Linked DNA regions of Notamacropus eugenii. The protein of the gene in region 1 purifies or fractionates together with the protein of each later gene. This does not show direct contact. Links are inferred from orthologs where the notes say so. Each region holds a gene or a part of one and is shown in the gene's direction. Other genes may lie near its edges. The genes, in order: NEK2, CDC27, ANAPC1 and ANAPC7.

Evidence for each region.
Region 2: the proteins of NEK2 (region 1) and CDC27 purify together in Homo sapiens (affinity purification with mass spectrometry; 6 studies listed by BioGRID and IntAct, with this or other methods). This does not show direct contact. The link is inferred for Notamacropus eugenii from reciprocal best matches to the Homo sapiens genes NEK2 and CDC27.
Region 3: the proteins of NEK2 (region 1) and ANAPC1 purify together in Homo sapiens (affinity purification with mass spectrometry; 3 studies listed by BioGRID and IntAct, with this or other methods). This does not show direct contact. The link is inferred for Notamacropus eugenii from reciprocal best matches to the Homo sapiens genes NEK2 and ANAPC1.
Region 4: the proteins of NEK2 (region 1) and ANAPC7 purify together in Homo sapiens (affinity purification with mass spectrometry; 3 studies listed by BioGRID and IntAct, with this or other methods). This does not show direct contact. The link is inferred for Notamacropus eugenii from reciprocal best matches to the Homo sapiens genes NEK2 and ANAPC7.

What each region holds. Positions count from the first base shown.
Region 1 is NC_092873.1:426,649,508-426,657,269, forward strand, and holds the start of NEK2 (serine/threonine-protein kinase Nek2), read left to right. Parts: upstream 1-4,569; 5' UTR 4,570-4,900; coding exon 4,901-4,996; intron 4,997-5,068; exon of another isoform or gene 5,069-5,326; intron 5,327-6,320; exon of another isoform or gene 6,321-6,425; intron 6,426-7,762. UniProt on the Homo sapiens protein: Protein kinase which is involved in the control of centrosome separation and bipolar spindle formation in mitotic cells and chromatin condensation in meiotic cells.
Region 2 is NC_092873.1:346,410,373-346,418,532, forward strand, and holds the start of CDC27 (cell division cycle protein 27 homolog), read left to right. Parts: upstream 1-5,040; 5' UTR 5,041-5,106; coding exon 5,107-5,133; intron 5,134-8,160. UniProt on the Homo sapiens protein: Component of the anaphase promoting complex/cyclosome (APC/C), a cell cycle-regulated E3 ubiquitin ligase that controls progression through mitosis and the G1 phase of the cell cycle.
Region 3 is NC_092872.1:603,639,234-603,647,168, forward strand, and holds the start of ANAPC1 (anaphase-promoting complex subunit 1), read left to right. Parts: upstream 1-4,928; 5' UTR 4,929-7,585; intron 7,586-7,935. UniProt on the Homo sapiens protein: Component of the anaphase promoting complex/cyclosome (APC/C), a cell cycle-regulated E3 ubiquitin ligase that controls progression through mitosis and the G1 phase of the cell cycle.
Region 4 is NC_092875.1:35,969,348-35,976,633, forward strand, and holds the start of ANAPC7 (anaphase-promoting complex subunit 7), read left to right. Parts: upstream 1-4,263; 5' UTR 4,264-4,527; intron 4,528-4,613; 5' UTR 4,614-4,810; coding exon 4,811-4,911; exon of another isoform or gene 4,912-4,934; intron 4,935-5,351; exon of another isoform or gene 5,352-5,452; intron 5,453-7,286. UniProt on the Homo sapiens protein: Component of the anaphase promoting complex/cyclosome (APC/C), a cell cycle-regulated E3 ubiquitin ligase that controls progression through mitosis and the G1 phase of the cell cycle.

The sequences.
Region 1 (7,762 bases):
ACTGACCAACAAAAGAAAAGGCAGTAATGAGAACACAACTGGAAAGAGCAGATTGTACCAACTTTATATAGAAATGCTGGAGGAGGCACAATTGTGAGAACTTTGAGGGTTCGACATGTATACGAATAAGAGGAAATACCAAAAGTGTGGAAAAAATAATCTGAGCATTTTAATGTGGAAGAAAGGTGATTGAGAAAATATTACCTACTTATTCTTCCACCCATATAAAATTTTTCTATAAGTCATCAATACATGTATTGAGGGCATCCTTATTGAGGATAGTAGTAAGAGACAAGCAGGCTTTTTACTATTTCACAATTGACTGAAAATGTAAAAAATATAAGATCTCTTTGAGCTTATTATAGACAACCTATAGAGCTAGTCCATTAGTACCTATATCTAGTATAGACAAAACAGCCTGGCCTACAGTTGAACAGGAGAAAGTGGGCTAAATTGCCTTCAGAAAATTGCAAAATTCCATTACTGTCCCCAAGTCTCACCTGCAAACAAAGGCCCATCTTTTTGATGTCAACATTCTACTGGTCCTGTTGTATGTCAATGAAAAATGGAATGGAACAGTCTCCAATGAATTAAAAATGAGTATCATGAAGAAAGTCATGGCACTGCACGGTGGGTAAAAGTAGAAAAGGACAGAAGTAAAAGAGATCATTAAGGAAACAATAAGGAGAAAAGACAGGCTGGTCACATGGTAAGAATGAGGGATGACAAGTATACAGCCAGAGTACTCCATATCCACAGGACTAATCAAGATAGCCTTTAAATTATAAAGGGTTTAAGAATGATTCTACTCTGTTTTCTGTCATATAATAAGAGAAATAGTTTGGTGTAGTAGATAGATAACAGAGCTTGGAACCAGAAGTGGGTTTGAAGTCCCACTTCTGACATGTTCTAGCTTTGCCTTACTAGACAAGTGATTTAACTTCTGAGTGCTCTAAGCATCTGTTCAGGAATGGAGAGAAGATATTAAACTGATTTAGTAGAGGAATTTCCTTGCCCAGAGGAGTCCCCTCTATCAGTGAAATATCAGAGATGAAGTTCTTATCCCTTAATAATGAAAATATTGTTATACAACCCTTCATAAGAGTAAAGGCTCCATCATTAGAGAAAAATAACTAAATTATCTTCCTAAGCATCCCAGTTGGCTCCTCAGGTGGGAATTTGCAGAGTTGGGACCTTTGAAAAGGGTTTCAAAAGAGCAATTGGCATCTCTGACAGAATACTTACGCAACTTCCCGCTAAATCCTTTTTCAGATGAACCTTTACAATCCGGGGCCTCCTGGTGCCTTCATCCAGCTGACATTAGAATTCTGCACTAACTATCTGATGTCAAAACTTGTTGAAGATCATAGTATTAAATGGTTCTTGAGTCTTTTGGATACTAGACACTCTATTTTACTGACTTTTTCACTGAACTGTTTTTTTTTTCAATCTTATGACTAAACCAAAACCTTATTGATTCTTCAACATCCAACACAAATACCATCATAGAATATCCATCATTTAGAATTAGAAAGGAATTTACATATCATTTAGTTCCACCTTTTCATTTTATAGACAAGGACACTGAAGCCTGGAGAGTTAATGTGATTATACTGGGCTAGAGAGAGGGTTAGAAGAAACCTCAGAGGCTATAGTCCAACCCTTTCATTTTATGAATGTAATTTGACTTTCAGGGAAAGTCTGGTTTATTACCACTCATAATCCTTTCAGGTTACACAGTTGACAAATTGAGACTAAATCAGTCTGTCAACAAGCATTAAGATCCTACAGTGAGTTATTCCTTGTGGGGATACAGGAAAAATAGTCCCTCTTCCCCAAAGATTAATTATTAGACGCATACAATACATGCAGAAAATGGATGGAAGCTAATCTTAGAGGGAAAGGCATTAACACTTAGGTTGTGTGGGTATGGAAGTGAAACCAGCAAAGACTTCCTCCAGTAAGTGGGATTTGAGCTGAGTCTGAAAGGAAGTCAGAAAAACTGTGGTGAAGATAAGGAGGGAAAGCATTCCAGGAAGGAAAACAGCCAATTCAAAGACCGAGAGACAGAAGACAGGGTGTTGTGTTTGAGAAACATGCAGCAGGTCAGTGAAGCTGGATGATAAAATGCAGGGAAGGGAGAAAAATGTAAGAAGACTAGAAAAATACGAAGGGGCAGGTTATAAAGATCTTTGAATGACAAAGCACTTTTATTACAGAAGGTAATAAGTTACCACTCATTGGAGTTTATTTATTGAATAGGGGAGTGTCATCAGCAGACTTCCGGTTTAGGAAAATCATTTTAGCAGTTAAGATGGATTTAAAAAAGGGAGAAATTTAAGAAAGGGAGATCAATTAATTGGAGAGTTATTGCAGTAGTCTAGGTGACAGGTGATAAGAGCTTGAATTAGGCTGGAGACTGTGTGAATGGAAGGAGAGAGTGATGCGAAGGTAGAAATGACAAGATTCAGCAAACAGATGAAACACAGATGAGGAGTCCATGATGACACTATGGCTACAGAACCTGAGAGCCTGGGAGGAGAGTGGTATTCTTATTACTGAAAGGAAGGTTTGGAAAAAGGGAAGGTTTGAGAGAAAAAAACAATTATACCTTACAATTTGAGAAGCCCAAAAGGCATTTAGGACTTTTTCTCAGCATAAAGAAGGGAAAAGGATCCACACATACAAAAATATTTATAGCAATTCTTTTTGTAGTGGCAAAGAATTAGAAATTGAGGGGTTTAATTAGGGAGTGACTGAACAAGTTGTGGTCTATGAATGGAATGGAATACTGTTGTTGCATAAGAATTGATAAGCAGGTGGACTTCAGAAAAACTTGGAATGCCTTACATGAACTGATGTTGAGTGAAATGAGAACATTATTCACAGTAACAGCAACATTGTATGATGATCAACTTTGATAGACGTAGTTCTCAGCCATACAGTAATCTAATACAATTTCAAATTGGAAAATTGAAAAAATACAAATTCAAAATGGAAAATGCTATCCATATCCAAAGAAAGAACTATGCAGTCTGAATGCACATCAAAGCATACTATTTTCACTTTTTTTTGTTTTTTTCTCATAGTTTTTCCCTTTTGTTCTGATTCTTCTTTCACAATACAACTAATGTGGAGACATGTTTAAAATTGTTATATGTGTATGGTCTATATCAGATTGCTTGCTGTCTGATATAGGAGGGAAGGAAAAAAATTTGGAACTCAAAATCTTATAAAACTGAATGTTGAAAACTATCTCTAAGTGCAATGGGGAAAAAAAACTCAAAAAACTATTAAGTGCGAGAAAAAAAAGGAGCTGAATCTCAAGAGAGAGATTAGAACTGGACTAATGGATCTAGGAATCATCTGCATAGAAATGATTATGAGCCTATGGGAGCTGAAATCACCTGGTGAGATAGATAGAGATAGCATTTGAGGGAAAAGAGAAGAGGACTCAGGAGACAGCCTTAGGAGAACATCTGGGTGTGATTGCAAAGAAACTGAGGAGCAGTCAGACAGGTAGAAGCAGCAGCAGGAGAGAGCAGTGTCCTGAAAACCTAGAAGGAGGAGAATATGAAATTGAAAAGGGTATCATGGGTGTGCTGGTAAATGTTCAACAACTGGTTCTCCTAAAAAAATTTGCACAGGCAACACTTTTAAATTTAATCTGCATTCTATAGCATCTTCTCCATCGCTTTCTTCCATGTACAATTCAACTGAACAATAAATCAAGCTCTGATCTGTAGCATTTTCCAATTTCTAAGGAGTAAATTTCACAATTTGTCAAACTGGCTCCAACAGACCCAACAATGTCAAATGCCATGGAGAAGTCAAATAAGAATGAGGAAAGACCATTAGATTTGGCGGTTATAACTAGCACAGAAGAAACCAGAGAGTACTTTCGGTTGAACGATCAAGTTGGAAGCCAGATTCCACAGGGTGACTTGCCCAGCTGTCATATAAGTAATAGGCGCCAAAGACGGGATTTGAACTCAGGTCCTTCTGAGTCTAGAACCTGTGCTCTTCTACCACTAAGACCCCATCCCAACATCAAACCATGGGTCTTGCATTTGAGTCCAGATCTTCTGATTCTCTCTCTTTGCGAAGTTTTCACTGAGGAACATTTCGCTCCCCATCAAAGCATAACTCATTATGAATCCAGAAACACGTCACACCTGCTTAGCACACTTATCAGATCCCATCGCAGGCTGTTATTTGTCACGTTATCTAATATCGCCTATTAGATCACCTGAGGTTCGGGGTTACCTAGCACACTTAGGTTTATTTAGCGCATACTAGGTTTGATTTGATCCAGTTTAGGTGTCCTGAAGACCCAGGCGGAACGTGTCTCTCCTTCCCTAGACCAAACGTATACATTGTTGTTCCTGCTGTCTTTAGGGCTTCCGATCTAAGACTTGACAGCTTTTTACAGTCCCGTTCAAGCCCCGCCCCTTTCCCCACCCCATCCAGCCTATCACCATAGCCACACCCACAGCAGAATCCAGCCTAGCTGGGGGGGGGACGGCGGTGTGCAGAAGCGATAAGGGCAGTGTGCAGAGGTCAGAAGGCAGTGTGCACAGACCTGGGTCTAGGATCCGCCTAGAGCCGCTCGCTGAGCCCCGCCCCTTCGTTTGACCCCGCCCCCTTTCTCAACAGTCTCTGAAATCCGACGCCTTCGGGGTTGCTTAGCGACTCCCTTTTCCCAAGATGCTAAGGTTGTTATTTCGCAACTGTCCAATCAGGGAGGCGGGGCGGCGGGCCGTCAGCCAATAAGCAGCTAGGCAAAGCCCGCGACGGTTAAACGGCACCGGAGGCCCCTGCGGCCTCCTCTCGGGTACTGCCTGGGTGTCGGGCTTGTGCTTCTGGGCCGATTTTTGGCGGCGGCGGCCGATCGGGAGCGATGCCTTCCCGAGTGGAGGACTACGAAGTGCTCTTCACTATTGGTACCGGCTCTTACGGCCGCTGCCAGAAGATACGGAGAAAGAGCGACGGCAAGGTGAGAGCGAGCGCCTCCTCCCGAGCCCGGGCCCAGGCCCGCGGCCGAGGCGTGCGCTGCCTTCCCCGCCCCCTTGCCCTGCGGCCGCCAGCTGGGAAGGAAGGGGAACCGCCCCCTCCGCCCCCTCCGCCCCCACCCCTACCCCCAGCTGCGGCTCCTGCTCAGCCCCGCGGGCCGCCGCGGTGCGGGAGGAAGCCTGGAGGCCCGCGTGTTCCTCCTCCGGCCGCTGCCCTGGGCCGCACGCCGCGCCTCGGACTCGCCCTTGGACCTCTCCGCGGCCCCAGCCGGGTCGCTGGCACCCGCAGGCTGTAAGAGACGTCCAGGACCTAGGTCGGTTCCCCCGAAGGGGGAAGGCGTGGGCGCCACCTTAGTAGGGTAGAAGGAAGTCCCCCACCTTCTCCGGGGCTCCCGCCGCCTCGCCGGCCGCACTTGTTCCCCTTTGTAGATGAACTGTTTACTCGGAGTTGGGTTTGAACCGGTATCCGCGGGGCGGGCCGACGACTTAGGCCTGGGCTTTCTGAGAGCCCACTGTATGCACTGTTTTGGGGGGGCGGGGTGCGTGCAAAGTGTGTGCGCCTGCTGTCTGCCTTCTTAACACGTGGAGTCTAATAAAGGCTCCTGCAGACAGCTACAGTATACATTACTGTATGCATTATGTGGCCCGGGTCACTGCCCTGACACTTAGCTCTGTCCGTCTGTCTGGGTGTCAGTGTTTTCCGTCCTGCTGTGTCTTTCTGTCTCTTTCCTCAGTCTGTTTTTCTTCTGTTTTTGCCTGTTTCTGTTTTTCTCCAGTTCTTACCGTGTCTGTTTCCATCAGTTTTTCTTTCTGTCTCCCCGCCTCTGTTTTTCTTTCCATTTCTGTGTTCTTTCTTGGTGTGTCTGCCTTCGTTTCTGTTTTTCTTTATGGCTGAGTTTTTCTGTTTCTCCGTATGTCTCTCAGTTTCTGTCTCTTTCTATTTTTATTTTCCTTCTGTCTGTTTTTGTTTCTGTCTTCCGCCTTCTCCTGTTCTTCCTCTTTCCTCCTCTTTTTCTCTTTTCTTCATCTTGGCTGTACGACTGTCCTCAGTACCAGTTTTTAGTAGTGGCACCAATTTCAGCAAACATCCCTTGAGCACCAGAGATGGTGAAACCAAGGCCCAGAAAGTTAAGGACACAAAAGTTGTGTGTAGCCGCAGTACATCTGGATTTCAACTCAGCGCCCCTCACTCTTGTGTCCATCACTTTCCATCATGCAACAGGGCCTCCCAAATCACTTTTATGGGCCCTAGTTTTTTCACCTGTAAAATGAGAACATTGGACTACATGATCTTGTGTATCTATCTAGCAGCTAGGTTGTGCAGGGGATGGACTGCTGGGTCTGGAGTCAGGAAGACCTGAGTTCATATCAGTCTTCGACGTTTGGACACTTAGACTGACTGTGTGACTCTAGGCAAGTCATTTAACCTCTGTTTGCCTCAATTTCCTCAGCTGTAAAAGGGGGATGATAATAGCACCTACCTCTTGGGGGGGTTGTGAGGTTTGAATGAGATGTTTGCAAAGTGCTTGGCACAGTGCCTGATTCATAGTAGGCGCTGTATAAATGCTTATTCCATTCCTTCTCCCTCTAGTTGTAACCCTTAAGTCCTGTGATCCACATAAGATACTTTGGTTGGGATCTCAGCTCCTTCACCCTGTGTGACCTTGGGCAAATCTCCTTTCTCCTCTCTGGGCTTTAGCTCCCTCATCTGTAAAATGAAGGAATTGATTGTAGGTTGCTTCTAAGGTTTCTTCTAATCTAAAACACTACCATGTGCAAGTCACCATGCTTGGTTGTAGGTATAAAGGTGGAAAAAAAGAAAAAAAGGCATGATTGTTGCTCTCCATAATTATAAAACTTGAGTTTCAGTATGGCAGGGAAATAGGATGGGCACAGAATCAAGCACAGTTGAGATAAAAGATGTGACATCTGTGCTGTTCTCTGAAATGGAACATTGTTTTCTGAAGTGGGAAGTGGGCATGACCACTGGAACCTGAATTTGAGACTCCTTTTAAATCTGTATTATCACAGGTTATTGTAACCATAACTCCCTTTCTGTTTGAGGTAGATGTTTTATAAAAATGTAAAGAAGGAAGGAAATTATGTCCCGTTACTGAGTATACTTTCTTCAACCTCTAATGTCTGCATCTCTCACAGCAGTGACTGTCAGCAAACAGGGTTCTTCTACATCTGCTTCTGAATAATACAGCTCCTACTATAGTTGCAAACCAAAATAATCCATTGGGAGGAAAACTAGGTAGATGTCATTGACCCCAAATTGTATGAGCTTCTTCCTTTGAAATTGGAAGAGAAGGGGTGTCAACAAGCTAATATGGTGTTTGGAGAATTAGCAGATTACTGGGATCATCTCAGATAGCCGTGTGCAAGATTAATTGCATGTAGCCCTTGAAATTGGGGGTAGGTGGTACAATAGGAAGGGCAGTTGATTTAGATGCAGTGGACTTGGTTTCAATTCCTGGTTCTTTGAGTACCTACGAGTATATGTCAGTCTATGTGCCTTTCAGTTTCCTTAAAAAATAATGATAGTAGCTAACATTTATGTAGTGCCTTATGGTCTGCAAAACATTGTGTATGTGTATATGTGTAATGAAAAAGTATAACTAGATTACATAAGGTCTCTTTTCATCTCTAAATTTTGATTCTGTGATCCTAAGGTAGGCAGGTACAGATCAACCTGCAGGGGTTACAGTATGGGGTAGGGCACTTTTGTACATTTTTTATAAATGCAC
Region 2 (8,160 bases), about 80 Mb from region 1:
ATCAAGACTTAGTGGCTTCAGTTTCTGTAGGAGCAAGGTGAATATTTAAGAAAGGCAAAAATTCTAAGAGATGAAAGGTTGCAGCTAGAATGCTGAAACCAAGGATCAACAAGTAGACCTCTTTATTTTGAGATCATAGTGTTTCATGATTAGCAGCCATCTAACATCTATAGGAGAATATCGGTCTGAAAAAGGTAGGCTTTTCTAGCAATAAACAACTTGAGATCTTTGAAATCCCAGTGCAATTTCCCAAATTTAATGCCAGCTAGCCCTATCCTGTTCAATTCTGGGCCCAGTTCACTATTTGTGGCATCTGAACACAATACATGCAGTAGTGAACTAACTGAATAGGTCACCCATAATAATTGGTATCTACATAGCACTCAAAAGTTTACTAAGTGCTTTATACATACTATGTTATTTGTGCCTCCCAACAAGCCCATATGGGGTAAGTACCAGAGGCATTATTATCCTTATTTTAAATGAAGAAACTAAGGCTTGTTGAGGTCAAGCAGTTTGCTCCAATTATACATATGATACATCAAACTCACCCATGTGTACACATACACACAAACACACATATTGTCATGCATAGTTAGTAAATGTGAGAAGCAGGATTTGAACCTAGATTGTCCTGGCTCTAGATCTAGCACTATGTACTGTATCACACTGCCTCTCAGCATTCCCAGCCAATTCAATGTCTTAATCTATCAGTAAGTCAACAAGTACTTATTAAGTGCTTATTATGTGCTGAGCACTGTGCTAAACACTGGGGACACAAAGGCAAACAGTCCCTTCCCTTAAGGAGCTCAGATTTTTATGAGGAAGACAACATAAAAATATCTATGTGCATAGAAGATATATAACATACAGGATGCTTAAAACTATCCTAAGCTGCTCTCTCTCTCTCTCTCTTCCCTCCCTCCTTCCCTCCCTCTACCTATCTATCTATCTATCCTGACTATGTGACTTGGGCAAGTCATTTAAGAAAGACTGTTTGCCCAAGTCTCCTCAACTGCAAAACAGGGATAGTAACAGTCCTTATCTCCCAGAATTATGATGAAGAGCAAATGAGATAATATTTGAAAAGTATTTTGCAGACTTTAAAGTGCTGCATAAACCATTTGAATGTATATTACTTCTTCTATTAGACTGGACAAATTTTTGCTTTTTTTGTTGTTTTCTCAGTACTCAGCATGGTAGCCAGCACATAGTCAGTGCTTAATAAATGCTCTTCAATTTACCAATAGATCATGCAGAATGACACCTTCTTATTTATGCCAACTTTACCTTGGGCATGTTATATTAGATAGATGATGGCTCATCCCACCTTAGTTACATGAAAGGCAGCGTGGTACAGTGGAAAGAGACCTGGGTTTGAATCTCAACTTTGATATTGACTAATTGTGTGACCATGAACTAATCATGTCAATTTTCTGAGCCTGAGTTGCTTCATCTACAAAATACCTATAATACTTACCTTATAGGAAAGATATGTGAGGATCAAATGATGTAAGATACTTCGCAAACCTTCCAGTAACTATATGGACATCATTATCTATCTACCTACATATCTATCTACCTGCCTGTTAATCTATCTGCCTTCTGTCTACTGAGAGACAGAGAGTAGCTAGAAGGTAATCTGAGAGGGAAGAGGCACTAGCAACAAGGGGATAAGGAAAGGCTTTCTGCAAGTGCAATGAAATAGAGACAAGAGTGTTGTGTGTGAGAAGCAGAAAAAATTCGAGGAGGCCAATAAGGTATAATAAGACGATTAGAAAGGTCAGAAGAAATCAGATCATAAAGTCAAGTCAATTAGCATTTATTAAGTACATACTACGTGCCAGGCACTGTGCTGAGATTAATTTGGAAGAGTGTTAAATGCCAGACAGAAGACTTTACATTTGATCCTGGAGGTTAACAGGGAACCACTGGAGCTCACTAAGCCAAGAGATGACATGGCCAGATTTGTGCTTTAGAAAAAATCACCCTGGCAACAGAGTAGAGGATATGTTAGAGTAGAGAGAGATCTGAGGCAGGAAGATGGTTATTGCAATAGTTCACAATGCAGAGTAATATGCATGTACAAATGCATTTTACATCCAATTTGCTTTTCCACACAATTTATAATTTATATGCATCTTGTGTTTTACATATAGTCAGTGGATTAGTGGAAGAATCAAACAAGAGGCACCCCCAGAACTTCACAAGATTTTATATCACTATGAGGTTAAAACCCAGAAGAATCAACACCAAATGATTTATAAGGTTAACCATTTATGGAGGAGGTGATTTGTAAAGGGTATCTCCTAGGTCCCCATCAAGGACTGATGCTGTGTGAAAGGAGCAGAACCAGGAGAACATAATACACAGTAACAACCACAATGTGGGAAGAATTTTTCTGGTAGACTTAGCCCATCACAACAAATGCACTCCTTTCACACAGCATCAGTTCATATAAGTCCTTCTAGGCCTCTCTGAAGTCCTCCTGCTCATCATTTCTTATAGCACAATAGTATTCCTTTACATTCATATACCACAAGTTGTTCAGCCGATTGGGGCATCCCCTCAATTTCCAGTTCTTGGCCACAAAGAGAGCTGCTATAAATATTTTGGTAATGTGGGACTCTTTCCCATTTTTATGGTCTCTTTGGGATACAGTCCTAGAAGTGATATTGCTGGGTCAAAGGGTATGCGCATTTTTGGCATACTCTATGGAATGGTTGGATTAGCTGAGCTCCACCAACAGTGAATTAGTGTTCCAACTCTCCCACATCTTCTCCAACATTTATCATCTTCCTGTTCTGTCATATTAGCTGACCTGACAGGTATGACTACATCTCTATCTATAAGAAATATAACTGATGTTCATATAGTATTGAAAGGTTTGCAAAGTGTCTTTCATCATTTGATCCTCACATCTTTCCTATAAGGTAAACATTATAGGCATTTTGCAAATGAAGTATCTCAGGCTCAGACATGACTAGTTCATAGTCACACAATTAGTTAAGTATCAAACTTGAGATTCAAACCCAGGTCTCCATCTACTATACCATGCTGTCTTTCATGTAACTATGGTAAGATAAGCCACGATCTATCTAATGTAACATGCCCAAGGTAAAGCTGTCATAAAAAGAAGGTGTCAATCTGCATAATCTTGATAAATTGATGAACATTTATTAAGCACTGACTATGTGCTGGGTACCATGCAAAGCACTGAGAAAACAACAAAAAAAGCAAAAATTTGTCCATTCTAACGGATGAAGCAATATACATTTAAATACTTTATGTAGCTCTTTAAGGTTTGCAAAATGCTTTTCAAAAATTATCTTATTTAATCCTCACCGTAACTCTGGGAAGTAAGGATTATTATTATCCCTATTTTGGAGTTGAGAAAACTTGGGCAAACAGAGGTTAAATGACTTGCCCAAGCCTGAGTTTAGATTTGGACTCGGCTCTTTCTGACTCCAATGCCAGTGCTCTATGCCACTTATAAGGCTAGGTATAGAGGGAAAGCAATCTTAACAGCAGACAACCTTAGGGTCAGATAGAGGTGGTACTTGAGCTGAGTCTTGAAGGAAGCCAGGGATTCTAAGAGACAGAGTTGAGGTGGGAAGTGCATTCCAGGCACAGAGAGCAAAAAAAAGTAAGAATGTATTAATGCGTTTTCAGGAGGAAGAGCATTCTGATTCCAAAGACTAGAAACTTCTTATTCAAATACATCTCTCCCTAGAACTGAGAAGAACAACTTATCAAGCCACCATAGCTTGAAGGAAATATTCCTTAAGGACACCAACTCATTTTGCTCTCATGCTTATCAAGCAGTGTTCTAATCTGTAATTTGGCCTCTGGAGTAAATAACTGGAGTTACCTTGCCAGATAGCTCTCCCAGTGCAAATTAATAATTTGGTATTCTAGTGGATAAATCTGTCTCTTGTCAGTTTGGTTAGTGTGAATCGATTCCCCTTGGCCTGAAAGCCTAGAGTGAACTTATAAAAAAAGAAAGGAAGCTTTTATGAATTCCTCTACTTTGGGATATCATTTTTCAAATTATTTCCTACTTATTTTTCTACGTAAATGTTTGTTGTATCCTCTTTCCCTTCTTCCTAAGCAAAATGCAAGCTTCTGAAAGGCAGAAATGGTTTTTTCCTTTTGTCTTTATTTTCCCCTTCTCCTAGCACAGTGCCCTGAACACAGTAGGTGCTTAATAAGGTCTTCACTCGGTTTGCGTAGCCCCTCCCCTCCAAAACTAAGCCACAGATTAAGACACATTGTGGGTGTGTAATAAATGGCTTGTTAAATTGAATTAACTGTAAAGGGCCTGACCCAGCTTGTGGAGGCTCCCAAGGCCTAAGCCGTATCTGCACATCCGAGGCGCTTAATAAAGGCTGGTTCAATTCCATTTAAAGGCTTGACGCAAGGATTCCGCCGCACCTGCACATGGTCGCTCCTGTCCAGGTTCCCAGATTCAGGACCGGAAGAGACCTCCGAAGCCGTCTAAGTGAATCCCCTTCTTTTAACCGACGAAGCCGCCGAGGGCCTGGAGCTTAAATAACACGACCAAGGTGGTGCTGGCCACGAGAGGCCCTGGCCCACACTCCCGCTACAGCCCGCGGTTCCGTACGTCCACATGGCGCACTGGGCCTCCGAGGCCCGGGCAGCAAGGATGAGGCGAAAGCACCGAGCTAAAGGGACTACAGCGGGCGGGCGCCGCGACCACGCGGCGAAGCCCACCGCCCGGCGGCTCACGGCCAGCCTGCTTGCAGCTGATTGGCCGAAGAGCGCGCGGGTAACTGAGCTCGAGGGGAGCGTGAGCTTCCTCCGTCTAAGCCAGCCTCGGTTTTCCTTTGGCTAATCTTCTAGCGTTTCCGGCTACGCTCTGCCCCTCCGCCAGCCTTCGTGTTTTTCCGGTCGAACTCGGGCATTTCCGGCTAGCCCTAGCTTCGGCGGTTTCCGTGCTGCACTCGGGTGGACTCGGCAGCCGTTCGGCCTCCCCCATCCCCCGGTAACGGTCGCTGCTGAGTTTAAATGAGCCGGGGCTGGGCCGGGCCGGAGCCGCTACGGGGGGGCCTGAGGCGCGACGGAGAGCGGGCCTGAGCCTTAAGAATGACGGTGCTGCAGGAACCCGTCCAGGTAACGAGGACCTCGCCCCCTTCAGCCCCAGGCGGCGGCGGCGGCGGCGGCGGCGGGGGTGGCGGCGGGGAGGCCACGCTCGGGCCGGGCCGGGCTGCGGCTCGGCTCGGGCAGGGCCTGGCGCGGCCTAGGCCCCGGGACGTTGCTCCTCCTCCTCCTCTGCGGACCGGCCCGGCCCGGCCCTCAGGACGCCGGATCCCGGGCCCACGCCCCCGGGAGCCCCCGGGCGGGGACGGGGTCCCAAGCGCGCCCCCGCCCGCCCCTCCTGTCAGTCCCCGGGGGCGCCTCGTGGACGCCACCGGGGAGGGAGAGAGGGAGCCGGAGTCCTGCAGGCGGGAGGGTCGGCTCGGGTCGGCTCGGGTAGTGTCTGTAGTGGAGGGGGAGGAGGATTGGCACCAGGCTGGCTAGGCGTCCCCCGGGAACCCGCGAGTTTGGGGATGGTTTGCGCTTTTTTTTTTTTTTTTTTTTTGGCGCGGTTGCAGATTTGGGGCAGGGGGGCAGGGAGTGAATGGTGTCTTAAAGGAGAGCTTGGCCTTTGGGTGACTTGGCCTTTCCCCAGCTCCTGTTGCTTTCTGATTTCAGTGTGAATTCACCACTGGACATGTGGCTTAGCCTGGCTGGAATCAGGTATAAGATACAGACACTTGCCTAACAGCCACAGTAGGGCAGGGCAGGGCAGGGTGGGGATGGTATCTATGCCAGGTTTTTCTATCACAGATAATGATGGGATCACGGGGTATTTTTTTCTCTTGCACATACAGAAAGTGGAATTTAAAAAAAAATTCGAATACCTTTCCCATCTTTTTTTAAACCCTTAAATCTTCACTGTCATTACCAAATCAGGTATGTTTTTCATGTTCACTGTTCTTTTGGGATGGAATAGAAGAAATCCTCTTGGATTTTGAGAATACGATGCAGTGCCAAATCATTTTTTGCTATGCTTTCTGAAGGAACTGAGTCCTTTGTGCCTTGGTGATGCACCAGGTTTGGGGGTTGGGGGGGGGGGTTACATTATGTCAAATGAGTTGACCTGTGACGTGGGTTTCTCTATGGTTTTAGAGCTGCTGCTGCTGCTGATGATGATGGTCAGGAAAGACTAGGTAGTATCCTTATGGTTTTGAGAAGTGTTCTGTATTACCATTAATGTACCTGTTAACTACCAACAAATGAATCTAACAGTAAACATTTAAATAATGTCATCCCCATTTATTCATTTCAGAGCCCTTAGTGTTTGAGTCAATGTGATATGGGGCTCTAATTTAGAATTGTAACCATATACAAGATATCCTAGTGCAGTAAGTGAAAATCCAAAAATATTTTCTCATTTGACCAACTAGCATTTCTCTTTTCAATAAATAAGCTTAAATTAAAAGTCCTGCCTTTTGGGGGCCTATAAAAGAATTGATAGCTATCTATGCCCAGTTTCAGTTTAGTGAGTATATGCTTGCTTCTGTTACTTCATTTGCATTTCAGATTCATTTCATCCAAGACATTTTATGCTGATACTGAGTTATAAATTTGCTTCTTCTAGCCTCAAAAGATTTTTTTTAGAACCTGTCTGCCAAGGTTGTAAGGATCAAATGAGATAATATTCGTAAATGCTTAACATACCTCTAGCACATATTAGGTGCTATGTAAATGTTAGCTATTATTTTTTTCCCCTAAAGTGATTGGCTTGTGTCATTACTGAAGTGCCACTATTACTTAATAATTACACAAAGGAGAGGAAATTTGTGATCCAGAACCCTTGGATGATACACACCAATTTTCCTTCCTTTCCATCCAAACCTTCTTATCAATGATGCACTTCAGGCCTTCTTAAGCCTTAGAATCCAGTAGCTTATTAAATTCATATGGTGAAAAAACCCAACATATCACTGCCCTTTACTTCAGAGAGGTCTTTTGTCCAGGTGAGGTTTTTTCTAAGATTTGATCTGTAGAGCAATATGAGTTCACTACCAACCTTTGATTAGGTGGTATGGTCAGGAGCATTGAGCAGACATCTTTGGCTACTGCCAATGAGGATCAGTCAAAATGGGGTGGTGCTAGAGGTTGAGGCAGGGGCTGAGATTGGAATTAGCAGGGAAGAGGAGTTTGTAGTAGCACAGCAGAAAGATAAATACACATATAAAGGTGCTATTTGTAAAGATAGAGGGAGGCATATATGGGAGTTTTGAGTAGTCCACCAAGATTTCTTATGTCATCTCAACTGGCTCTTTACTGCTTTACAGAAACCTTTTATTGGTTCCTGATTAACTTGCTTTCCCATTCCCTACAGTCTCTGTTACAGACCTCTGCTGTCCTCAAGCTAACTTTACCCTCCTGCCCCCAGCAGAGGATCTGACTTTATATGTCACTGAAACAAATGAGCCTACCTATCATGAGCTCCCCTATTCTTCCCATTTCTACTGCACTTCAAGTGCCCAGCATTATCCCTAATTCTGTACTCCTTTGCTCCAGAGGAAGAGGGCCCTCCCCCAAGCTTGGCCCCACAATCATCCCTTTTCTATAATTTTCAAGCTTTCCTCCCTTACCTGCTGGATCTATCCTCACTGTCTTCAAACATGCCTTACTCTTCCCCAACCCTAAAAAAAATATAAAACAACCCAAAACTTTCACTTGATCTTATAATTTTTAAAAAAGCAAAAACTACCAAAACAAATCTTTTCCTTTTTTTAAATTATATTTTCAAGTCATTCATGCTCCACTTTTGCACCACTAAACACCTAGGAAAAGTTGTCTCCACTCATTACTTCTACTTCTCAGCTCCTTGCCGTCTGGCTTCCATTCCTACCACTCAACTGAAATTGCTCTTTACAAAATAATCTCCTAATTACTAAATTTAATGGCCTTTTCTTGGTCCTCACCATTCTTAACCTCTCTGCAGCATCTGACAGCATTGACTATCCTATCCTCCTTAATAATCTTTCTTTTTTCGGGGTTTCCATGACACAGTTCTTTACTGATTCTCCCACCTGTCTGACTATTCTCGATCTTTACTAATCACTATTCTTATTCAGACTTCTA
Region 3 (7,935 bases), on another chromosome or scaffold:
TCCCCATGCTAGTTCTACCTCTGTGTCCACTGGAGAGCAATAAATATGGTGGAGGGCCTTGAGTTCAAATTATACAAGAAGTAGTTGGAGGAACTGGGTTGGTTGGACTGGATAAAAGAAGATGTAGGGGTCACATGATAGCTATTTTCAAGTATTTGAAGGACAATACTATAGAAGAAGGATGGGATTTGTTCTTAGTCTTCAGAGGACAGAACTAAAAACAATTGGTTTAAATTGGAAAAAAAGGAAATTTAGTCTTAACACAAAGAAAACTCCCTAACAACTAGAGAAATCCAAAACTGGAATAGGCTGCTGGGGAAGCTGTCAGGTTTTTTTGGAGGTCTTCCAGCAAAGACAGAATGATTACTTGTTTGGAATATTTAAAGGAGATTCTTGCTTAGGTATGAGTCACATCGGGTGACCTCTAAGGTCAATTCCAATTCTGACATTCTGTGATTCTCAGACTGGGGAAACTGAAAAGCAACTATTCCCTGTCTCTATTACAATTCAATATACTAGTTGACAAAAATACTACCAAAATAGAAAGAGTGACGCCAAGTGGACACATGTGAGACCAAGAAAAATAAAGTACTGATTATTGGAAAAGATAGGAAGTGTTGGTGAGAGATTTAGAAAAAAAAGAAAGGCAGAAAGAAAGGAAGGAAGGAAGGGAGGAAGGAAGGAAGGAAGGAGAAAAGGAAGGAAGGAAGGAAGAAAGGAAGAAGCAGGACAGGATAAGAGAGATGGCAAAAAAATCTGAACAGTGAAAAAAGAAAAGCAGTCATCCTGAGATGCCTGTGAATCTTTCAGGTTTTCAAGTCAATTGACTAGATATGTGGAACATTCCATTCCACATACAGGAAAACAAATGGAATTAGTTCAGGTATATCAACAGATTAACCACATCCAAAGCACAAAGTACTACTGACAGGACTACAGATCCTTCCAACAAAGTGATCACTTATTCTGCTGCATTGGAAAAGAGCAGCCTGAAGCAGAAAGGCATTCAGGGTCACACCATCTGAGAAAATACCAGCTCTGGAAGGGGAAAATAATATTGCTGAAATATTAAGACAAAATACATTTCTACAAATAATACAAACTGGACATTTTAATCTTCCTATTAGCTGAAAGAGCTAAGCGTGCTTTTAACCTTTCCGTGTCTCTAAATTCCACTATGATTATGCCTATGGAAAAGGCAAAAGAAAAATGGCTGTGAACTGTTGGGATTTAAAATTTTTAATTAGTCTATAATTTGGCAGTGTGAAGTTGTGGATAGAGAGTGTAGAATCTTGGAGCAAGGAAGTAATGAGTTCAAATCCTAATCCTGACACATACTTTCTCTGTGGCCATAAGTTATTGAACTAAAAAGTTGCTTATCCTTATCTATATCAGCAACTGGAGTTTTTAATACTGGTTATTGATCTAGACTAAAATAAAAAATGACATTATGTTATTAAGCTGCCCTCAGTGTAAAAAGTCTTAATGAACTACTTAATTATATAGATCATTACTTTTCTACTTCAACAGATCTGTGATTTCATCTGTGTGGATGCTACCTACAATGGTACAGATCACATCTTATCCATGCTTTCTTATCCTGAGCTACTTTGGTTCACATATTCTAATAAATAATCCACCGGAGATTCATAAAATGTAAGTGATTACTGTAATAAAAAGTAAAATATTTTTTTCTCTGATAGGGTTATGTTAAAAGTCTCAGAAGTTTTATCTTAAGAAAAACTTCTAGACCTAGGCCTAGAGCTTCATAGCAAAAACCAAGAGTTAAAGAAAAAAATTAATACTGTACTCTGTTTTAAGGCACAAGTCTTCTAGAAATAATTTTTTTGATATAACATTCTATTTCCAAGTATCTCTAGTCTAGAGAGAGCAATGTCCAAACTGGAATATCATAATTGCTCTGCATGCTCTTGGAAAGTTGCTATACCTGAAGATGATTTGAGGTAACATTATCAGGAATCTGGAACAAGGAAAATATCACAATATGTTATTAACATTCCATTAAAAATAGTCATGAAGATGGTGAAGTAAAAGCAGCATGTCGCTACAGCTCTCCCCTCCAAACCTAGCCAAATACCTATAAAAAAATGACTCTAAACAAATTCTGGAGCTGCAGAACCCAGAGAATGATGGAGTGAAATAAATCTCCAGCCCAAGACAGTCTGGAAGGTTGATGTGAAATATCTATTGTGAGCAGAGCTGCAGTCCAGTGTGATGAGCAGAGTGCAGTTCAGCATAACCCGTGCTGGCACAGGTAGGACTTAAGCAGGGACTGAATTACTGGCACCTATGTGGTTTCCAGACTTCGCAATCCCAAAACACTGAGGACAAACTGGAAGGTCAGTGGAAAAAAACCTGTTGGGCCTATGTGAGAGAGTAGAGTAGGGCCCCAGGATGGCAGAGGGGGGCAGAGGATCCTGCAGCAGTCATAGCAGCTCTTTCTGGAGCTCCAGGCCTATGGATTGTGGGGGGATTGAGCAGCTGATAATACAACCTCCCATCCCCACTAGAAGCAGAGAACTACCTTGACAAAGACCTTGAGTCAAGTAAATGACTGGGAAAATGAGTAAAAACCAGAAAAAGAATCAGACTATAGAATCTTACTTTGGTGACAAGGAAGACCAAAATATACAAACAGAAGAAGACAACAAAGTCAAAGCTCCTACATCTAAAGCCTCCAAGAAAAATATGAATTGGTCTTAGATTATGGAAGAGCTAAAAAAGGATTTTGAAAATCAAGTAAGAGAAGTCAAGGAAAAATTGGAAAGAGAAATGAGAGTAATGAAAGAAAATCATGAAAAATGAGTCAACTGCTTCTAAAGGGGACCCAAAAAATGCTGAAGAAAATAACACCTTAAAAAATAGGCTAACCCAAATGGCAAAAGAGATCCAAAAAGCCAATGAGGAGAAGAATGCCTTAAAAAGCATAATTGGTCAGATGGAAATGGAGATCCAAAAGCTCACTGAAGAAAATAATTCCTTAAAGATTAGAATGGAGCAGATGGAAGCTAATGACTTTATGAAAAATCAAGAAATTATAAAACAAAATCAAAGGAATGAAAAAATAGAAGACAGTGTAAAATATCTCACTGGAAAAACAACTGACCTAGAAAATAGATCCAGGAGAGATAATTTAAAAATTATTGGACTACCTGAAAGTCATGATAAAAAAATGAGCCTAGACATCATCTGTCAAGAAATTATCAAGGAAAACTGCCCTGAGATTCTAGAACCAGAGGGTAAAATAGAAATTGAAAGAATCCACCAATTGTCTCCTGAAAGAGATCCCAAAAGGAAAACTCCTAGGAATATTGTAGCCAAATTCCAGAGCTCCCAGGTCAAGGAGAAAATATTGCAAGTAGCCAGAAAGAAACAATTCAAGTATTGTAGAAATACCATCAGGATAACACAAGACAGCAGCTTCTACATTAAGGGATCAAAGGGCTTGGAATATGATATTCCAGAGGTCAAAGGAGCCAGAATCAAAACCAAGAATCACCCAACAAAACTTGAGTATAATACTTTGAGGGGAAAAAATGGTCATTCAGTGAAATAGAGGACTTTCAAGAATTCTTGATGAAAAGACCAGAGATGAATAGAAAATTTGACGTGTGTGTGTGTGTGTGTGTGTGTGAGAGAGAGAGAGAGAGAGAGAGAAAGAGAGAGAGAGAGAGAGAGACAATGAACATCTTCACAAATTTTTACCTGAAAATGTTATTGTTATGTCTAACTCTTTGTGATCCCCTTTAGGGTTTTCTTGGCAAAGATATTGAAGTGGCTTGCTATTTCTTTTTCTCTCCAACTTTCAGGTGAGGAAACTAAGGCAAATAGGGTTAAATGACTTGTCCAGGGTCACACAGCAAGCAAGTATCTGAGGCTAGGTTTGAACTCTGGAAGATGAATCTTGCTTGCCCAAAGACAGGGTTGTGGGGGAAGGGGAAGGAAGGAAAAAGGGAGGGTGAGAGAGCATGTATGAGAGATGTTATCTTGATTCACATCTATGGCTTTGTAATGGTAATTTAAATGGGAAGAGCTTTCCCATTCATTGATAGGCCCATGTGACCTATGGAAGCCTAAGTAACATGTGGTAGGAGGAGCTTGCTGAATAGTAGAACAGGAAGGGTGGAGCAGAACTGGGAGGAAGTTGGTGAAAGCAGTTAGAGCAGAATAGAGAGAGAACATAGGCAGTCTTGTGAGTGTTTGCTTGTGGGAAAGCCGCAATGGGGAGGAAGGCTTGGAAATGGCTTTGTCCCCTGTAGTGCTAATGTGTATTGACTTCTTGGTTACTATGATGGATTTGGCTTTCTGGTGTCTGAATAAATCTTTTTCTTTTGCCTTCTATATGGAGAGTCTGTTATACTTTGTGATTCAGAATTATGCTGGCATATTCATCATCTCCCTTGGTCCTATGAATGTTGCCTTGGAGATACAGACCTACATTCTTGGTAATTCTGCCCTTAAAAGGTAATTATAAAGTATGTTTTGTTTATGCCTCCAGTTAGATAGCAAAACTCTGTAAAAATAGGTTGGGGTTGAGTTTCTAGCCTTGTAGTAGGAAAGGTCCCTCTCTCCTGAGTTGCTCCCCTTGCATCCTCATGCTGAGAAAATTAAAAAAAAAAAAAGATTGGAGGAAGGGGGACATGCAGGAAATATCAGAATTAGATCAACCATATGTGTTTATGATTAATAATATATTTTGACAACTCACTTTTTTAACAGAATAAATTTTAGGAACATACTTAGGTGGAAGTAAGACCAGAGTGGGGTGGGCCCCATTCTTTCATTTCTCCCAACTAGCTTGTTTCTCTCAGGGCTCTTGCTATCTGGGCAAGTCCCTATGATAACACAGTCACCCAACTCTCAGGTTGTTCACTTAGATGTCATCTCTCATATTAGGGTAGCTCAACCCCACTCCCCATTTTAAAACCCATTGTTCCATTCTAAAGAATAGAACTACAGATGTCTAGACATCCAAAGATGAAACTGTTCCCATAGTTTGGTTGTTGCCATGGAATGGCTGCTGGCTATCCTTTTTCTCCTCATTCTCCTAGTGCTCCGTGCCCCAAAACTCCTATTGTCAACTTGTGACTTTCTTCCCTATGTCAGAGGGCAGAACTACACATTCTATAAGTTTTTGTGGCCAGTCAACCCTTTCCTAGGAATTGTTAGCTCTATAGGTATACCTCAGAGACCTCCCTCCCCATAACTTAAAGCAAATATCACAATAAAGTGAGTCACACAAGGTTTTTGGTTTTCCAATGCATATAAAAGTTATGTTTACCTTAATGTACTAAGTGTGCAATAATATTATGTCTAAAAAACATGCATGCCTTAATTTAAAAATACTTTATTGTTAAAAAACGCTAACCATCATCTGACTCTTCAGTGAGTCATAATCTTTTTGCCGCTGAAGGGTCCTGCCTTGAGGTTAATGGCTGCTGAAGAGTGGGGTGGCTGTGGCAATTTCTTAAACTAAAACAATGAAGTTGGCCATATTGATTTACTTTTCCTTTCACAGAAGATTTCTCTGTAGCATGTTCTGTTGTTTGATAGCATATTACCCCCAGTAGAACCGCTTTCAAAACTGGAGTCATTCCTTTCAACTGCTACTTTCTCAACTAAGTTTATGTAATATTCTTCAATCTCAGGGAATAGGGAGAAGGGAGAAAGGTCATTGGAGCTGTCAAAACACATACACACAACACTTCAAGATTTATCTGGGTCTGATTTTTGGTGCCTCAAAACAATTACAATGGCAGCATCTAAGATCACTGAATGCAGATCACCAGAACAGTTAACAATAATGAAAAAATTTCAAATATTGTGAGAATTACCAAAATGCGACAGAGAGACACAATATAAGCATATGCTGTTAGAAAAGTGGTACCAATAGATTTGCTGGATACAGGGTTGCCACAAACCTTCAATTTGTAAAACAATTTGTAAAAACAAAAAAAATGTAAAATTAGTAAAAAAAATTTTGTAATTTGTAAAAGCAAAACAAATTAAAAAACCCAAAACAAACAAACAAAAAGCTTGAAATAGTTCATAACAGATATAAGGAATAAAGCTGTACTGGAAAATGTTTTTAACAGCTAATTCTTTTAAAAAAATACTCAGGACACACTTTAAAATTTACTCTCCATGATTAACATTTTCTACAGTCTAGACAACAAAACAATAAATCAAGCTTTGATTTGTAGTTGGCTGATTTCTAGTTCTTTAATCTCTGGAATTAGTTCTTTCAAGACCTTAATCTGAAAGGGCCAGGGTCTCCCATTGCATCCTGGGCCATCTTCAGTCATCCTGATGAATATCTGACCACTAGACCCAGGTGGCTCAGGAGAAGAGAGTGAGGTTGGTGACTGCACAGCCCTCCCTCACTCCAATCAAAGTCAATTGCAAGTCATGTCATCATCCTGACGTCATGGTCCTCTTCCAGAACTAAGCACAAACACAACAAGCTGAGGCACAACAGCCCAGTGCAGAAGGTGATCCCTGAACTGGGTCTTGAAGGAAGCCAGCACTGGGGAGACAAAGAAATAAGTGCAACAGGTCTTACCCTCCAGAAGCTGACATTGTAGGAGAAGAGAGAATGGGTCCACATAGAAGCATATACTAATTAAGTATATAAGGGTAAGAGTAAGGTAATGAGGGGATGGGGGAGGGGACCAGGAAAGACCCTATGGAAAAGACGCTGTTCTTGCTGAACTCTGATGGGGGGAAGGGATTTTAAGAGGCAGAGGGAGGGCATTCCCTGAAAGGGGGAGGGGTGGCACACAGCCTGTGCCAGGGAGGCAGGAGAGGGGCTGTCGGGGTGAGGCCAAGGTTAGACCCAAGAGGGCGAGAACAGTAAAGAGGGTAACCCAATAAACCCGGAAAGGTGAAGTTGGAGCAGTTTAGGAAGGATTTAAGAGCTTAGAAGAAGGTAAGAGATCGGTGCGTTAAGCTAGCACTATTTAAATGAAAACAACCACAAGCCCTCCCTCCTCCCCCAATAAATGTGACGGCCCTGCTTCCCAGCGCGGGGTGGAGTTTCGCTTTCATAATTTTCTTTCAGGGTCGGGGGACCAGGACCAGGACTCCAGCAGCCCGCCAAGGAGCCTCAGCCCCCGCGGCCCAGGTGTGCCGGCTTTGCCCCGCCCTCCTTCTCTCTCATTCGCTGGCGGGCTCCCTCTCGTCCTCTCCCTAGGCGGATCTAGAGGGCTCAAGAAGCGAGGCGGAGCATCCGCATCGGGCCACGCCCCTTCTGGGCGCGGGGCATGACGGGACATCCAAGATGGCCGCGCCCATTTGAACCTCTCGCCCGAGCCGCTCGCGCGCCCGCCAGCTAGATCTTCAGCCCTCCCGACAGTAGAGGCACCGCGTCGCCCTCCCGCCTTCCCCGCCACCGCCACCGCTTCCTCCGCAGCCCGGGAGGGAGAGGAGGGAGGGCATGAGAAGTTGTAGCGGCAGAGGAGTCACCGCCACGCATCGCTCCGCTTGCCCGATCCCGTCTTCGCCCCGGTCCCCGCGTCTCCGGGGAGCAGCAGGGGCAGCGCCCGACGTTTCCTGGGTCACTCAGGTGGGCGCGCCCCCCAGAAGGTGCCGAGGCCAAGCCTCCGCCGGGTCCGGCCTGGATGCTCCCCTGGCGCCTTTCCCTTCCTCCCGGTGCCCTGGGCTCTCCTGTGCGCTCCCGCCAGACTCCTTTCACCCCGACAGCCGCGGCCCCGCCGTTTTCTTGGCTTTGGGGGTGGGGGACACCGGGTCTCTCGGGGCAGAGGCTGCCCAGACTGTCCCGCTTCGCCCCTTGAGGCAGAGAAGGCGCGTGTCGCCGCGTAGGGGGAGCCGGGGCCTTGCCCTCAATTGTTTCAAGTTTCGTTGTGGGGGGGAGGTTTTATGCGCAGGCAGGTGTCTCCCCGGCCAGCGCGTGTG
Region 4 (7,286 bases), on another chromosome or scaffold:
CCACTTGTCACCCATGGCTCTCACCCATGACTCTGAGGAGCATGGCCACATGCATAGTGGCCACACCCTGGTAAACATTTCAGCAGATGGGCTAAACCAGGGAGAATGTAACCAAGAGGTGTCAAACCTATTGGTGAGTTAGGGGGATGTCTACCCCAAGCATGTGAAGACTGTCCTGATGGAATGGGTAGATGAAAACAATTTGTTCCAAAGGCTATGAAGGTTGCTGAAGCAACTGCTGTGGAGACCTTGGGGCTTGGTCAGACATCGAAGATGCCAAGGTCATCTATTGCATCCTGGGCCATCACCAGTTATCCCAACTTTTGTCCGATGACTCTGGAGGAGAGAGGGAGGCTGAGGACTTTTTGCAGCTCTGCCTCACTTAAATTCAATTCACTCAGGAGTCAAGACATGACCCCAGGATATCACCGGTCATCTTCAAAAGCAAAGAACAAGCAACAACATGTGCCAGGCATTGTGCTAAATGTCAGAGATACACATAAAGGAAAAAGACAGTTCCTACTCTCAAGGAGCTCACAGTCTCCTGAGGGAGATAACATACAAATAACTATGTTCAGACAAGATATACACAGGAGATAATTTCAGAACAAAGGAAGTAGGGTTAAGGAGAACTGGAAAAGTCTTCTTGCAGGAGGTGAGATTTTTAACGACTTCAAGGTAGAATTGAGGAGGGAGAGCATCCTAAGCATGGGTGACAGCCAATGAAATTGCTGGGAGTGTGGAGATGGAGAGTCATGTTCAGGGAACAAGGAGACCAGTGTCACTGGATCTCAGAGTACATGATGAGGGGCATAAGGTACAAAAAAACTGGAAAGGTAGGAAGGGGCCAATTTATAAAAGGCTTCAAATGCCAAATAGTTCAAATTCTTGACCCAGCTCTGACACTGTCTATCTGTGTGATTTTGTGAAAGCTATTTAAATTCTGTATTTTAGGGATGATGCCATGTTTATCAGATTTACAGATGACACAAACCTGGGACAGAGAGAAAACAAACTAATGACAAAGGTTTCCAAAAAGATCTCAAGAGGTTAGAACCGTGAGCTAAACCTAATACATTAAAGTCAGAATCTTAGATTCAACAAAACAACAGTAAAAGTCTAGTTTGGGGGAGGCATGGCTAAACGACAGATCATGCAAAGAAAATGGCTGTTTTTAGCGGACTTCACGCTCAATATAAGTCAGCAGTGAGACTTGGAAACTGAGAAAGCAAATCTAATTTTAGATTGCATTGAGAGGCGTGATAATACTACCTGGTATTTCCATAGTTCCTTAAAGCTTGCAAAATGCTTTACAAATGCGATCTCATTTTATTCCTACAACAACTCTAGGTGGTCGTTCCACATTTATTATTATTTATTATTCCACATTTCACTGATGAAGTATGGCCCCTGAGAAAGGCTAAATAATTTGGCTAGCGTCACACAGCACTTATGGTTCAGAGTCAGAATTCGAACTCAGGTCTTCCTGGCTCCAAGTCCAGGGATGTTGCCCACTGTTCCACCTAGCTGCCTTCATCAAGCAATGGCTGGAGGGAGTGTCATGTTCAGCATAGGGTACCACGTTTTGGGGTGTACATGGACAATCAGGAGTGAGTCTAAAAGAGAATCATGAAAGGATTATAGACATCATAAGAAGATTGTTTGATGGACGTAGGAATGGAAAAGAGAGACTTCTCAGTGGGGACCTGAGAACTGTCCTCAAATACTTGCAGGATGGTCATGTGGAAGAAGGCTTAGCCTTGTTCTGTTTGGCCCCAGAGGCCAGAACTAGGAGCGTTGGATAGAAATTGCAGAAAGGCAGATTTCTGCTCAATGTCATAAGAAGCCCATGTTCATGGGGAAAAATAAAAGATGGAATATTCAAAGAAGCTTGAAGGATGACCAATGATAGTTCATGTGCTCCATTTAATATTCACACAATGTCAACAGAACGTGCAGTTGATTGGGCAGATCTCCTGTAATGGATATATGGGAGGATAATGACAGGTTTCATGGAATATGCAGGCACAGGGGGAAGTGAGGAAGGGAAGAGGCTATGTGGAAAATTGGATAGAGTCAAGAATACCTGAGGACAAGTTCTGTCTCTAAAGAGTTCTGGGTGGGTGATCATTGGCAAGTCACTGTGAGGTCAGTGCCCCAAAACTACTCTAAGATTATAAGTTGGAGAGTAAGGAAAAACTTCCTAAAAACTAGAGCTGTCCAAAGGTGAAACTGCCCTGGGAGACAATGGGTTTCCATTATTACAACTGGAGAGTTTCAAGTTGAGGTTTGATGATTGATCCATGGGTTGGACCAGATGACCATGGAGAGCCAAACACTTAAGTGCATATGATATACTAAGTTCTGGAAATGCAAATAGAAGCAGAAAGACAGGTCCTTGTCTTCAAGGAACATGCACCCTAATGCTAAGAATACAACGCAGAAGAAGGAGCCGAGAAGCTGGGAAGGGGCAATGTTCCCTAGTAGGGGCTGGATGGAAAAGTTGTCTGGAGAGCCAGGAGCCGAGGCAGGTTAGGAATGAGCAGGGTTGATTTGGGTACTTCCCCAAATAGAGATTCCTGGCAAGAATTTACCAATTAGAGAAAGAGGAAACAAGTATTTATGAACTGCCTACTAAGGGCTAAGCACTTCACAAACATCTCAATGACAATGAGGTAGGTACTACTGTTATTCCTATTTTACAGTTGAGGAAACTGAGTCAGACAGAGGTGAAGTGACTTTTGGAGGTGGGAGGAGTGGGAAAGTAAGCTGGAGAGTCAGGAGATCTCTTCCAATCCTTGAAAGTCCCTGAAAATAGCATTTATTTTGCAAATACAAGACCCTGTGCCAAGAGCTGGGGATATAAATACAAACTGTAAAATAGTTGTCGCCCTTAAGTAGCTTATACTCTACTGGAGATGTGATAAAGAGTTAGTGGTTGAATTAGTCACTGGTCTTCTAACTCCAGGGCATTTTCCTGTACCACAGACTTTTTCAGTCCTTTCCCCAGCTACATTCATTCTGCTTGGGATGGTCACGGAGATCTTTAGGAGAGTTATGGTTGTGTTCATCCTTCGTTTTAGGAGAAGACCATGACATCAGAGAAATGACATGGCTTGCACTTGATTTTGAGGGAGGGCTGTGCAAGGTCACCAGCCTCACTTTCTCCTCTTGAGCCATTTTTAGAAGAGTGGGAGTTACTGAATTTAGCTCTAGAAGGATAGGTTGGTTTTTGACCGGAGAGGAAAGCTGAAACTCTTAACTGAAATATCTGTTAACAGGTGAACCGATAAGCTATCTTCCAAGCAAATATAATTTTAGGTAGAACTGTCATTTTTTATTATATTAGCTTGACCTACTTATGAGCAACTGACATTTTTCCAGTCGTTTAGATCTGACTTTGTGGGAAAAGTGTTTGTAATTGTTTTTGTATCGATCCCGGCTTTGTCTTGGCTGGTAGACTCCGGAACATTTTATATTGTCTACAGTTATTTTAAATGGAATTTTTTTCTATCTCCTGTCGCTGGGCTTCGTTGGTAATGAATACAAATGTTGATGATTTTTGTGAGTGTGTTTTAAATCTTGCAATTTTGCTAAAGTTGTTTTTTTCAAGTAGTTTTTTAGCGGATTCTCTAAGTATACCATCCTATCATCCGCAAAGAGCAACAATTTTGTTTCCTTATTGCCTATTCTAATTCCTTCAACTTCCTTTTCTTCTCTTATGGCTAACGCCAAAATTTCTAGTACATATTAAATAATAGTGGTGATAATGGACATCCTTTTTTCACTCTTGAACTGATAATGGGCATCCTTTTTTCACTCTTGAACTTACCGGGAATGCTTCTAGCTTATCCCCTCACCTGTAATGCTTGCTGATGCTTTTAGATAGATACTGCTGATCACTTTAAAGAAAACTCCATTTATTCCTAGGCTCTCTGGTGTTTTGAATGGGCTGCAAATATACTTTTGAGATCCTTTCTAGCACAGAATAGCTGGAAGAAATCTTTGAGATCATGGAGCCCAAGCCCTCTCATTCATTGCTGAAGCTGTCATCCCTATTTTAGTTCCAGAAACGGAGGTGAGGGGACTTGTCCAGGGTCACTCAGCTAGTCGGTATCCGAGAGGAGAGGTGAATCTGGTCTCCCCGATTCCAAGTCCGGGGCTCCAGCCGAGGAGCCACCTAGCTGCTTGGCTTTACAAATGAGGCAACAGAGGCGGACAGTGACGTCCCCAAGGGAACACAGCGAGCGAGTGTCTGAAGTCGGATTTGAACTCGGGTCTTCCGTGGAACGCAGACGGGAGCCTGGGTGCTCGGTGGGAGGCTGGGGGCTCACAACCGCGGCCAGGACTCAGAACAGCAGCGGGACGGAGAAGGATGGAGCGGAAAGCACGTGGCACAATGACTCGCGCAAGCGCGGTTAGCCCCAACGGTTAGGGTTGTCTTGTGCGCGCCTGATGAAAAGATTTCATTTGCCCTTAGAAATTTGTATTCCTTTGAAGGAGCTGAAAATGACGATAACTTCCGCGGTAGGAGCAAAATACCTGCTTTTTCCTCATACATAATACGTTGTGATAGTACTCCCAGAAGGAACGAGGGTTTTTTTTTCACACAGGCGTCGTCCTAGTCTCCCGCCCGTTTCAGCGAGGGGGCCTGACGAGGACCCCGGGCCGGCGGCCATTTTGGCGCCTTCGCTGAGGTGCCGCTCGCCGCGCTCGTCGCCGCTGCCCTCCCCTCCCCCCAGAGCCTGCCGGTGTCCGGTCCCCGCTTCGGCCGCCGCTGGGTCCTCGCGGCCCCTCCGCGAAAGCAAAGATGAACGTGATCGACCACGTGCGGGACATGGCGGCCGCGGGGCTGCACTCCAACGTGCGGCTCCTCAGCAGCCTCCTCCTCACTATGAGCAACAACAACCCGTGAGTGCGGCCCAGCGTGAAAGGTCCGGTGGGGGGAGGGAAACGGAGTGGGGAGGGCCCCTGGGGGCGGGGTCAGGGGCGCGCACCTGAGGGGGTGTGGCTAGGGGGTGCGCGGGCCAGAAGTTGCGAGCGAGGCTGAGGGGGGCGGGGTTAAGAGGCGCGCGACTGAAGGGGCGGGGACTTGGGAAACAACTGAATTGGGAGAGGCGGAGGAGCCTGAAGGGGCGGGATTAAGGGGAGGCAGAGTGAGGGGGCGGGGCCAGTGCGCACCTGGGCCGGAAGAGGGGCGGAGTCAGTGAGTAGCCTGGACGGGGAGAGGAGGCGGGGTAAGGGAGCGCGCGCCTGAGAGGGCGGGGCCTTGGGAAGTGGGCGGGTGGGATTTGGACGCGCGTGCGCGCCTGGGGGCGGGGCTTGCGGGGTCGCGGTTAGGGTTCTCAGGTAGTCTGAGCTGAAACGGGGGTGGAGCACTGGAAAGGGGCGTGACTAGGAAAAGGGGCGGGTCCTTGGGTGTAACTGGCTCTGGAGGTGGGGCTCCGGGCAGGTGCGTGGCTGGGGCGTGGGGGCCAGGGCTTGGCATAGCGGGTGGGGCAGGGCATGCCCTAGGTTGGGCTTCTGTACCCCTTGGTAGGAGTCTATACCCCTTGGTAGGAGTCTATACTGGAGTAGGCTGGGGGCGGGGGCGGGGCGGCTGGAGAAGACTCTTGGGAAAGAGTTTGGAACCTTTGGTTATTAAGTTTCATAGTTTGAATTTCCACATCTCTCCTTTTTTCTCCTGGTGATCCTAGAGCCAGCACAAGGTACAATTAAAGCGAGCAGCAAAATTACGTCTGAAAGCGCAACTGCTTTTTCCTTTGCAGTTAAACATATTTTCTCATCTTATTAGGAAACAGTGCTGAATCTAACATAAAGGTACAGATTCATGAGTTTTCTTGCGCGTATGTTGACGGTGACCTAGATGACATTGTATTACCAGCTGGTGCAGAATGTTCTCATGACCTTTTTTTAAAAGTAACTCTGTCCTGCAGAAATCTAAGTTCATTCACCTAGTGGATGGTTGGTTGTTCTCCTTCCTCTTCAAAGAGGACCAATATGACATCACCATGATAAAGTGACATTTCAGTGTGTCCTACTGTGACTGATCAGACCAAAACAGGCTCGGAATGCTCTACCACAGGTTGGGCACAGATAGTTCCTGTGAATATTTGGGGTGGATATCCTGCGTTTACTTTGTGCTGTCTCAATTCTGCTTTGCTCATAGAGCACAGCACCTTTTCTGTTATGGGCACGCCATGCTGAGCGGTCCTGTGCCAGTGTCTCCATGTTGCACAGTCAAATCCAAAGTTCTTCAGAATGCCCTTGTATCCTTTCTTCTGATCACTATGCGATCTCCTGCCCCATGAGAGTTCTCCATAAAAGTCTTTTTGGCAAGTGTACACTTTGCATTCGAACAACGAGTGTTCTAGTGGATACTTCTTTTTGAAAACTGTACTCTTATTCTGAAGTTTATTAACATAATCTTTAAACTAGAAGAAAGAAAAACAATTCAATCAGCATGTGAGAGAAATTGTTGAATGTAATACTAATACTTTGAGGTGGCTGGGTTGGGAAGTGGATAGGGCTCTGGTCCAGGAATCAGAAAGACTTGAGCTCAGATGCAGCCTCACACACTTCCTAGCTGTATGATGCTGGGCAGTTCATTTGACCTCTCTCTGTCTGCCCTGGTTTTTCATTTGTAAAATAGAGATAAAAGCATCTAGTTCCCAGGGTTGTTGTAAGATTCAAATGAGGTCCTATTTGCGAGGCACTGTATGAATTTGGACTGCTGTTATTCTTATTACAGTAGCCTCCTAATGATTCTTCCTGCATCCAGTCTCTGCACTCTGTTCTGGCTTCCGTTCAGCTGCCTAAACGGTATTCCCAAGGCATATCCCTTATGTCCTCCCCTAGGATCTGCTGTGGTTTCCTTCTATCTCTCATGCTCCTCACTCTGGCTGTTACAGCTCTCCATAGTCTGGTCTCAGCCAACCTTCAGTTTATTTCACTTTCAGCGTTAACATTGTTTTTGTTCCAATTAAACTGTCTTAATTGCTGTTCCCTAAGTTTGGCATTCCATCTCCCTTTTCTCTGCCCTTGCCTAGGCTGTCCTGCATATATGGAATGGGTTCATTTCTCACCTCCATCTCTCAGAATTTTTAATTTCCTTAAAGGCTCAGTTCAGATACCACCTCACCAGCCTTTCCTGATCTTTCCATTTGTTAGTGCCTGTATTTCCTAATCTAAGTACATATTGCATTTCCTGTAAGGTCCCTAATGGCAAGGCTTGTTTTCTTTGTTTGTCTTTATATCTCAGCTTCCAAGAAGGAGGCCTTGGCTTG